3 linked regions of the Schizosaccharomyces pombe genome follow. The gene in region 3 interacts genetically with the main gene of each other region. Each region holds a gene or a part of one and is shown on either strand. Other genes may lie near its edges. The genes, in order: ynd1, rec7 and qcr8.

Region 1 (3,758 bases), on a different chromosome or scaffold from region 3:
CAATATTATTTTTGTTTCAATGCGCCCACTAGTGAAATTTTATTATTAGTTCAACAAAATTTATCTAAAAGGTATTTTTATTGAATGATTAACTTTAGTCAACAATTTTTTATTTTCTCAATCGCAACGCTGAATTTCTTTGTTTTCTGACTGATGATGCTTAAATGTGTGCTGCAAATTTGCGTCGCGTTAACCTTTCCATCCAATTTGCTATTCCACGTACACCAATCGAAATAAGTATTGATGTCGTTCAAAAGGAAAGCAGCACCTCAAATAGCACCAACAAACTTGCCGACAGGCGTTAGACTATCTTCAAAGGATGCTAGATGGATTACAAGCTCTGGGAGTTCTTCTTTTGACTACTATTTGTCTGGCGGCATTCCAATGAAAAGTTTGCTGGTTATAGAGGAAGATTCGATGGATTATGCTTCTGTGCTACTTAAATTTTTTGCAGCGGAAGGCCTTAAACAGGACCATGTTATTTGGCTTGGTCCATCTATTGGAGAGATGTGGTTTCGTCAACTTCCAGGCGACAGCGACCGGCCTAATAAAAACGAAAATTCAGCTGGAGAGGATAATCATTCTTCTCCTCCCTCTAAAAATCCCCAGCAAGAAAGAATGAAAATTGCCTGGAGGTATGAACAAGTCTCCAAAACCAAGGCACCGACCCTTGATATGATTCCTCCTGGCTATACTCACTCCTTTGATTTGTCAAAGAATTTGATAGTGAAAAGCGATATGAAATACGCTGTTTCTCCATTCCCTTTGGAAACAGGGTCTAATCCTTACGCCCCTGTCATTGAAAGTCTAACGAGATTCTTATCTACTCTGACTCCAGGTACGGTATGCAGGTTAGTTCTTCCATCCATTTTGTCCCCAGCCTTCTATTCTATCCGTGCTACTCATCCGCAGCATTTCATAAGATTTATTCACACACTTTCATCGCTCATCAAATGCACTACTTCGGTGCACTTGATATGTATGTGTTCAGTTCCTTCTACTTTGTTTTCAAGAGATTGCGAGCAAATTTTTTGGCTAGAAAACCTTGCATCCGCCGTATTCTCTTTGCATCCTTTCCCGGTCAAAGAAACTGTTAACGGTTTAGTTACACAACCATTAGGACTTTTCCGTATCCATAAGCTTCCCTTAGCACTTCCATTTACCAATCATGCAAACTCTAATGAAGCTGGAGACCTCTCATTTACTGTATCGAAAAGAAGATTTACCATTGAACCATGGGTCCTTCCTCCACTGGATGATGAGCAAAAGGATACGAAGATTTCAAACACGAATCCTCAAAAACAGCCTGTTAAATCTTTGGATTTTTAGACAATTAAAAAACCTCTAAGTTTCTGAGTATTGAATTGGATTAAAATTCTACTCGTTTTCGTGTTATGTGATATGGTTATGGTTTGTAAATGGATTTTATAATTTTTTTTGGATGCATTGCATTTGTGTTATTTATTGTTCATACGAGTTTAAATATTTTTCATTTCTCCCGTCTAGATAACTGATCAATTATCTAAATGTTCGTCAAATGGGATAAACGTTCTCTCAATCAAAACTTTAAAACACAAGTTAATATAGAATGCGAACTGAAAGCCGTCAAATATCTCTACGAAGAACCGTTACTGTGATCTTAAAGCAAAGTGCATGAAATACTTGTAAGTAAATGACATTTTAAATCTTAAACAGTGTTAAACCGTTGAAATTTGAAGGATACAATTATTTTCTCTATTAAAACAGTTCTGAAGTAAATTGTTGATGATTGTTATCAAAACATTGTCAATCTGTTGGTACTAACAGTATTTGACATCTAAGCAAATTAAAGAGACAAATCAAAAAGTTTTCGCGTATTCGATTTTTCTCTTTAATTCTAGTCGCATTATCTTTTAAGTCAAGTGACCAAAATTAATGTGATTATTCCAATAGTCCGTATGAATGGGTCCTTAAATTCGTCTCAATTTACTTTTTTTGCATTTTGACAGAGTTCACTATATAGTGATTTACCACCTAAAAATGTGCTACCTATACATTCGCTAGTTGTTAAACATTGAGTTGAATGTTCATAATCCACTACAAACGTTCATTCAATGTTTCAATTAAGTTAAATAGAGGTTCATTGATAAGACAGATACATATATTTAACTGAATTTTATTGATGTATATCTTGGGAACATATGCCATATTGAAATTGTTCACATCGCCATAGTGCGCTTTCAACCATCAACAAACAAAAGGCAAATTGGGCTGGTTTGATGAAAATATCCATCTTCAGAGTCGAAGTTATTTAATATCCAGTCTTATAGACAAAGAGACATTTTGTTAAGAAAAATAAGTGCAGGTGGCTAAAAATGGTTCGAAAGTATGGAATTTTCATCGACGCTGGATCTAGTGGTTCAAGACTTCTAATTTATTCTTGGGACTATGATACCGATTCCTCTTTAAGTGATAAAGTAAAAAAATTACCATTAATCGAGACAGGGATTGGGGATGGTGGTAAATGGTCTTTAAAGGTTCAACCTGGAATTTCTTCCTTTGCCAATAACCCTAAGCATGTAGGGAAGAAGCATTTGAAAGAACTCCTGGATTTTGCTGCTCATGCTATTCCCAAAGATGTACATAAAGAAACTCCGGTTTTCCTAAGTGCTACAGCTGGTATGCGTTTACTGGGCGTTGATGCCCAAAACAAAATACTTTCGCATGCTTGTAGATATATTAAAAAGAATTACGATTTCGACATACCTAATTGCTCAAATTCAATCCGTGTAATTGATGGCAAAGCTGAAGGTATGTATGGTTGGCTAGCTACGAACTATCTCCTTAAGACACTTGAAGAAAAAGATACGTCAACGGTTGGTTTTTTAGATATGGGCGGTGCGAGTGTGCAAATTGCTTTTGAACTTCCCCCATCTCAGCTCAAAAATTACAAGGATAGTATTTCGACCGTTCACATAGGACTACAAAATGGTCAGCAATTGGAATATCCTTTGTTTGTTACTACCTGGCTCGGTTTTGGCGCTAATGAAGCTTACCGCAGGTATTTGGGACTGTTAATAGAAAGCGAAAACGGAAAAGTTGGCAACACTTTAAGCGATCCGTGTTCCTTGCGTGGACGAACTTATGATATCGATGGGATCGAATTTGCCGGTACTGGAGATTTGAAACAATGCTTGAAACTGACTTACAATCTATTAAATAAAGACAAGCCATGCTCCATGGACCCTTGTAACTTTGATGGAATATCTATTCCTCCTGTTGATTTTGCAAATACTGAATTTGTTGGGGTCTCGGAATTTTGGTATACGACTAATGATGTGTTTGATATGGGCGGTAGCTATCATTTCCCTAATTTTTACAAAAAAGTTGACGAGTATTGTGGTACAGAGTGGGAAACCATGCTTTCCCGTCTTTATAATAAAGAGCTGACTCCAAGTACTGATGAAAACAAGCTTGAAAAGCTTTGTTTTAAAGCATCATGGGCGTTGAATGTCCTTCATGAAGGATTCGACGTTCCCAAGTCAAATACAAGTAGTAATGATGCAAAGGATGGGCTCTCGGTAATTCCTGCGTACCATTCTCCATTCACGAGTTTAGAAAAAATAGAACGCACCGAAGTGAGCTGGACCTTAGGCCAAGTATTGCTTTATGCATCAAATCAGCAACTTCTAGCAAAACCGGAATATGCTAATTATTATATGGACCCATACGGAAAGCTAATCGCATCCCCTTCAAAACATTGGATGAGGTTATTTCCT
Region 2 (3,758 bases), on a different chromosome or scaffold from region 3:
CAGATTATTGGGCGACCTTTTGAAAGTGAGGGTCTTTAGATGTTACAGCTGCAGTAGCTTCAATTACCTTTTCAAAAATACCTTTGTAGGCGGCTATAACACCGTTATTGTTCTTAAGAGTTCTTCCTACACCAAAGTCCAAAGGTTTGCCAAACATATCAGAAACAACACCACCAGCCTCTTCAACAAGAAGAGAACCACCAGCATGATCCCAAATTTTTTCTTCAAATGTCATTTTGGTTGGTAAACGAAGGTAGATGTCACCATCACCACGAGCAAGACTAGCGTATTTGGCTTGAGAATCCATCTTGGTAGGTCCACGAGTAATCCCTAAGTACTTTGCAATTTCTTCTTGAGTTCCTTGCATTGAATGACCAGCCTCTACTCCTTCGCAAAATTTTGAATCCTTGGTGTTTTGAACATCTTGCATGTGCACTTGAACTGGTTCTAATTTTTCGTTATGGAGAGAATACTGGAAGCAACCATGGTTACGAACAGCGGACATTATGATACCTTTGGGACTTGTCTCGGGCTGATTAAAGTCATATGGAAGATTAGGGCATCCAATGGCACTTACCACAGGTTTTCCATTCTCAATCAAAGCTAAACAAATAGCATACTGGGCACCACGTAGAAATCCTTTAGTTCCATCAATGGGATCCAAAGTCCACATACGACCATTGCGACCACCGTGATATGATCCTTGGTCAATAATGCTCATCATTTCTTCAGCTGACTTGATTTGACCAAGCTCTTTGTATTCAGTAGCATGTTGGATAGTTTCTTGAACTAATTCCCAAACACGAGAGCAGGTTTGGGTGTTTTCTCTCAAAAAGTCGGAATCCTCTTCGCCAACAATTGGATCATTGGGAAATGCATCTTTTAACATAGAGATTACGATAGCTTGAGCACCAAAATCGCCAATAGTCACAGGTGATTTATCATCTTTAGTAAGTGCCCCAGCAGCACTCTTCTCCTTGATAAGTTGATTAAACACTTTTTCGGTCAAATAGCTAGCTCTGCGCACAGCAGCAATAGCTAATTGTTTTTCGGCATCAAAGCTCATGGTAAATAATTTTCTAATGTTATTTATTAATGGAGGTATGATTTTAGCACCAAATTTCCTGTTAACACGGAGTTTGGAAATTTTTGTAAACCTGGGCAGTGGAAGTGCGAAGAATATGAAATCAGCATATACGGTGTTTAATTGACGTTTCCACATTTAACCAAAAATATTGTTCAAATAGAAGAAAGAACTAAAAAATTGTTATGAAACGAGAAAGAGTTTCATTTTTTCTGACTAAAAGACCTTTTTTTTTTGTAAAATCGCAGGTTATGCTAACTTTTATTAAACAATAATGATTATGTAGTTTCTATTGTGAAAAGAGCATGTTAATATTTTAAAACAGGTTTCTCCATGTCCACATTTTAGGTTTTCATTAATTATACAAACGACACTACTAAAGTCTGGGTATTGGCAAAGCAGTTCGCCAACCCTTCCAACCTATGGAGAAAGGATGAAATATAATATTAAGGAAAAAAAATATCATTCTGATGGAAAAAACGCATAATTTAAAAGCAGTGCAAGTCCGTATCTTGCGTTTCCCTTTAACAGGCAAATATGCCTAAAATTTTTATATAAGTGTAGATACCAAGGATGAAATGAAGGCATAAAAATATTTTAAAGGGATTGATTAGTAAAAGAAGAAACTGCTCATAAAATTTCCTTTCTCTCAAAATACTGTTGTTTGAAGAGACTTGAGAAATTAATGAACAATCAGATATTCCTCAATACAGATTGAAGAAATAGTTTCCTTATGGCAAATTACAATCATATGTAATATATTGTGATAACAAGACTTACATTCCATAAAGTCTAGTCGTTTTCAGGTCAACTCATAAATGTAAACAAAAGTAATACACCGTGACGGAACGTACTGCGTTATCAGATAAATGAGGTTCAGTCTAACGCGTCTTCTCATATTCAAACATAAACAAACATGAACATTTTCCCAATTGTTAAGTACTCTGTAGCTGAGGATTCGTATACTACAGATTCCTCCCATATCAACTGGTCACATTATTCAGATGGAGGTTTTACACTCTCATTAACGTCTGGATTGCTTCAAATTCGTCAACACGAAGAATTAATTGTACGCGACATGAAACCATATTGCTAGAAAAATTCAATATTTTTAACAAACAAACAGCAAAGTATAAACTTGTTAGATCTCTGGCACCAATTGATACCGGGAACGAAGGAAAAATGTCTAACTCTGCTTTCACGCGCTCCGTGTATGAATATTCGTGCTTTCACTAATAATGTAAGTAAAACAAAAGCAGATTTATTCAAAATCACATTGAGGCCTCTTTTTTTAAAAAAAAAAATGGAGTGTTGATGAAGCGTATTTTGTTGTTAATAAATTTAGGTGATGAAAAGATTTCAAGTGAAATTCCCATCTGACGTGCATTATATGAAAGCCAAAGTTGAATTTGAGAAGCTAGGCCTGGTGTTCAAAGATGCAAAGTCTTCCTCTGAGAAGAAGCAATTCAATAACTCCCAAAGTCAATCTAATAACTCACAGGAACTTTCGTTGATGAACAATGCATATAACAAGTCATCGGCGCAACAGCCAAATCTTTTATTACAACCGAGTTATATCCCCATGACCCAAACAGCAACAACTGCTGTGAACAATAGCACAAACTATGTCAATCCAGCACCACTGCAGCATGTCATGCCAAATGCTGAAATCTTCTCCAATACACCACCGCTTAAGCGATTCCGCGGGGATGCGGGCATGACCCAAATGCCCCTTCGAAGTGATACATCAATTGAAAGTATTACTGCGTCACAACAACCCACTTGGGATGAAAACGTGGTGATAACTTCATCACCTTTTAATCCCAATCGTAATGCCTACTCTTACGGTGCAAACTCACAATACCCCATTATTGCTGCTACGCCGCTGAACTCTCAGACACAGGCTTCGTGGGTTGCTCAACCGGAGAACCAAGCATACGCAAATTTGATTCCATCACCCCCAACGACTTCACAAATCCTACCAACAGAACTTACTGAAGAGGAAAAGCAATTACGCTCCAAGGTATTATTCTATCTAAAACAAGACAGCTTCATCCAATTATGTCAAAGTTTGGAACGGGTATGGAACAAGATGTAGGAAGACAGACCAATTCAACTTAATCCCAAATTTAAAAAAGTAGTAAAAATGGAACGAAATCAGGATCGGAATGGTTATTTCGACAAAATTGATGTGTGACCACAATTTGGCAACCAAATGAGAAACTTCATTAAGTTCACATTCTTCGAGTACCGTGATAAAACATTTGTTGCAAATTTTGACATTATTTAACGAAAAGTTGGTCGAGATCTCAACTGCATATGATCGTTGCTGAGGATTAGCAAACAGAAACCGCCAACACAACAATGTTGAAATAAATTTCTCTACTTGTTGCATGACTCTTTTCCCTTAGGCTTGTCCATGCAGAGCATTAAAATCAAATTGAGAAGATCCCGTTCCGATCCTTGGGGTGTAAGCCTCCACCACGACACATAATCGGTATCAAAAGACAACTCTGAAAACTTTTTGATGGGGGAATTGCCGCAAGTACAGCATGAATACTAGTGTTAATAATGGGTCAGGTTACAACGGTTAAAATTGAGTTGGTGGTTGGTTTTGATAATTGACTTAACAATCCACGAGAGGAGTTCATGACATTAAGTACGAAAATGGTCA
Region 3 (3,475 bases):
GTATGGGGATTAGATGATTTTCATTTCCTCCCTTTTTTGTTTGGTGCAGCTCAGTTGGTTAATCATAAATATTTGCGTCCCAAACATGTTAGAGATCCAGAAATTTTGGAGATGTGTCGCGCTGATTATATGTACTTAGGTTATGTTTACTTTTTAAATAAGTTGAAGCCTTCTGTTTCACTACGTTTCCATTCTCCAATGATTGACGATATTTCTGCCGTAAAGACTTGGTCTAAAGTCAACGAAGGCATGATAAAAATGTATAGAGCAGAAGTTTTGGGTAAACTTCCTATAATGCAGCACTATCTTTTTGGCCATTTAATCCCAGCTTCACCTGGGATGTCTCCTGCTCCCCAAGACGGTGATGATTCTGAGGTGACACATGTTCATTCTCATTATGCTGACTGTTGTGGCATCAAGATACCAAGTGCGATCTCTGCTGCCAAAAATAATGGAAGTAGGATTCCGTTTGATTAAAAATTCTCGAGGGAAAAAAGGCGTTTTTAACGAATCTTCACGAATTTATGCGATACCCATATTTGTCTGTTTACTTTAAAAGTAATATCTAAAGTCAATAAAATTACCAACAGTACAGCATATTTGTTTATTTCATTATGCTAAAAAAACTCTACATAAACAATCAACCCTAATTTTAGCAGCATTAATATAGCCATTTCATCAGCACAAAACCCAAAATAATTGTCGTTTTAAAAATAAGGTGACAAATCATAATTTTGAGTTCTGAAATAAAAAAATTTGGAAATATTTATTTTCGTTAAGAACCCAAATTTGTCAAAATCATAATGCGTGGAAAAGTACAACTTTTATATAACATCTCTTTAATTTTAAAGGGATAATAAGATAAAGCTGATATGTTTAGGGGAGCTCGAATAAACCTTATGAATTTGCTGCTAGAAGCAGATACATGGAATGAATTAAGGATTTACATTAAGAAGCAACCCAGAACCACTGGAACTTTGGGCATTAGAACCAGCTCCAAAGGGAAGATAAGTGACCTGTGCACCTTTATTAGCAAGTGCAGTAGCCACCTCTTTACTTGTCTCGAGACGACGAATTTGGATTAAAGCGCCACCGGCTTTATCAAGTGCTTTGGAAACAATATCAGCCGCTTCTGCTTCACCCTCAGCGCGAATAACATTAGCTTGTCGCTCTTGTTCGGATTGTTCTACTAAAAATCTAGCACGCTCGGCTTCTTGTTGAGCAATTTGTTTTCTCTCTACGGCTTTCGTAAATTCTTTTCCAAAAGTCATATGAGTAATGGATACATCTTCCAACCGAATTCCAAATTCGGTAGCTCGTTGAACTAGTTCTTGGCGAATTTTGGCAGAAACTACTTCTCTTTGAGTAATGAGCTCTGCTGCATCAAACTGAGCAACTACGGATTTTAAAATTTCGTTTCCAATAGAAGGTAAGACACGCTCATCATAATCTAAGCCTAAATTTTGGTAAATTTGAGGAAGCATTCCAACTTCGGGACGGTGTAATACACGCAATGTTAAAGAAACCATCTGTAAATCTTTACTACCCGTAGTAGTTGCGATATTTCGTGGACGTGTGCGTACATCATAAACAATTGCCTTTTGTAACCATGGAATCAAAAAGTGTGTGCCCTCCTGAACAACCTGTTTCTGCACACCCGACAGACGGTCAAACAAAACTGCTCTTTTTCCCCCCGGTACATCGTAAATCGAAGATTGTAATAGAGTAAATCCAATACCTATTGGTATTGCATAACGTGCAACTCTCTCCAGTACTACAGCCATCTCTTTAATAGTACGTTGAGCGCTGGACTAAAAGACCAAACTGAAAGGGAAGTCCGTTTGAGCAAGACTAAGTATGACTTAACTGCAACCTCTAGGAAAATCTATATTCATGATTAATAAATACATGATCTTATTATTTAGAATTTTAATAGTAAAACTAAATAAAAATCTTGAATAAAAAACCAAGAATTTGTAAACGTCTGAATTATTATTGGTCTAGCAGACCCGCACACTTACCCTTAACAAACATCTGACTTTGTAACGGCAATCATCAATATATTATTGTTTTAACAAAATGGGTGGTGCTGCTGGAGGAAAAACTTATTTGTAAGTGCAACTTAAAGCAGTTTCTGTTTATAATGGGTTATATGACTTTTCTTTGACGCTTATAGCGTGAGACGGTGGACACAATTGGTGTTTATTTCGTAAAGCCATTTTCGTCAGCGAAGTTATATACATTCAAATAGCTGCTGAGAATATCATTGAACGTTTTTATTTATACTAACACATGAATAGAGGATGGTGGGGCCATCTGTAAGTGCTATAACAATTTGATACATTTTTACTTACTTTAATAAGAGGTGGACCTAAACAAAAAGGAATCATAACATATTCCCTTTCCCCATTTCAACAGAGACCAATGGCCGGCTTCTTCAAAACTTCTACGCAAAATATGTTTCGTCGCGTCATGACTGAAGGTCTATACGTAGCAATTCCGTTTGGAATAGCTTACTATATTTACTGTTGGGGGAAGGAGCGTAATGAATTCCTCAATTCCAAACATGGAAGACACGTAAGTTAATGACTGAAGAATCGATAAGCAGCTATGGTTTGCAGCATTTTTCTATACTTCTAAATTGTGTCAATAATTGTCATTTTACTAATATGTGGTTTAGTTGGTGGAGGAATAATGATGAGAATGAAGTATTCATTTTGGTAGAAGGATTTACAAAATTCTTCCCTACCCTTTCCTTATTGGGTTTACAATTACTATCTCTCTCCTCTCATTATGCTTAGTATCAGAAATCTATATATCCAACAAAATTACTTTGTGATATGATCTATCTCTTGAATTTGAAAACATTATTACTCTTAGTTTTGACTTTCATTTGATTTTGTCTTATAAAAGACAAGTTGTAATGCTGAAACAGCGTCTTCTTCGCTATCGTGTGTAGAAGTTTGTATTGTTGTTCCCAGATATTTTTTAGTCAAATATTTTAAGGAATATCTAAACGGCGGGCCTCTGGCATGCGTAAATAGAAGAGCAGTATCTATGACACGTTTGTGAATAAGCCTCATCGCATTCAAATCGTTTTCTAAACCATGTCCTATTAAAATTGTATTTTTATTCATGCCAAGTTCCTTTATTTTAATATACATTTGATCCATGGTAATTCCTGATTCTAATTCTTTGGCATCATGTATCCCGCTAAATCGAGTATTGAGACTCAAAATTTTGCCTTTAGGCTTTATAAACACATCCATAATAATGCTTTCCTTTGCTACCACCGTCAAACGAGCCAATTCCATCCCGTTCGTAGTGTAGCATAGTTCACAATCTAACGCGCAATGACTTAATTGCTTGCTATTTGTACTGTCTGGTAAGTAGGAAAATGGATGAACGCTAGCAAGATACGGAAGATGTCGGTATTTGAACACATGGTTGTCTTCTATAATACAACCAGACGAAT

What was found.
Region 1: mutations in qcr8 (region 3) and ynd1 together harm fitness less than expected from each alone (positive genetic interaction), as found in Schizosaccharomyces pombe (one large-scale study listed by BioGRID).
Region 2: mutations in qcr8 (region 3) and rec7 together harm fitness less than expected from each alone (positive genetic interaction), as found in Schizosaccharomyces pombe (one large-scale study listed by BioGRID).

The regions. Positions count from the first base shown.
Region 1 is NC_003421.2:1,460,824-1,464,581, reverse strand, and holds the start of ynd1 (nucleoside diphosphatase Ynd1), read left to right. Parts: upstream 1-2,075; 5' UTR 2,076-2,354; coding exon 2,355-3,758. Other genes in the region: elongator complex subunit Elp4, read left to right, coding at 244-1,329. UniProt on the Schizosaccharomyces pombe protein: Catalyzes the hydrolysis of phosphoanhydride bonds of nucleoside tri- and di-phosphates. Required for Golgi glycosylation and cell wall integrity. Involved in N-mannosylation of proteins in Golgi.
Region 2 is NC_003421.2:1,547,312-1,551,069, reverse strand, and holds the start of rec7 (meiotic recombination protein Rec7), read left to right. Parts: upstream 1-2,000; coding exon 2,001-2,153; exon of another isoform or gene 2,154-2,210; coding exon 2,211-2,324; exon of another isoform or gene 2,325-2,429; coding exon 2,430-3,182; 3' UTR 3,183-3,758. Other genes in the region: tol1 (3'(2'),5'-bisphosphate nucleotidase/inositol-1,4-bisphosphate 1-phosphatase), read right to left, coding at 5-1,066. UniProt on the Schizosaccharomyces pombe protein: May be involved primarily in the early steps of meiotic recombination.
Region 3 is NC_003424.3:4,765,031-4,768,505, forward strand, and holds qcr8 (ubiquinol-cytochrome-c reductase complex subunit 7), read left to right. Parts: upstream 1-2,025; 5' UTR 2,026-2,079; coding exon 2,080-2,111; intron 2,112-2,300; coding exon 2,301-2,318; intron 2,319-2,363; coding exon 2,364-2,577; intron 2,578-2,680; coding exon 2,681-2,695; 3' UTR 2,696-2,876; downstream 2,877-3,475. Other genes in the region: ypa2 (serine/threonine-protein phosphatase 2A activator 2), read left to right, coding at 1-477; prohibitin Phb1, read right to left, coding at 936-1,784; exonuclease Rex3, read right to left, coding at 2,877-3,475.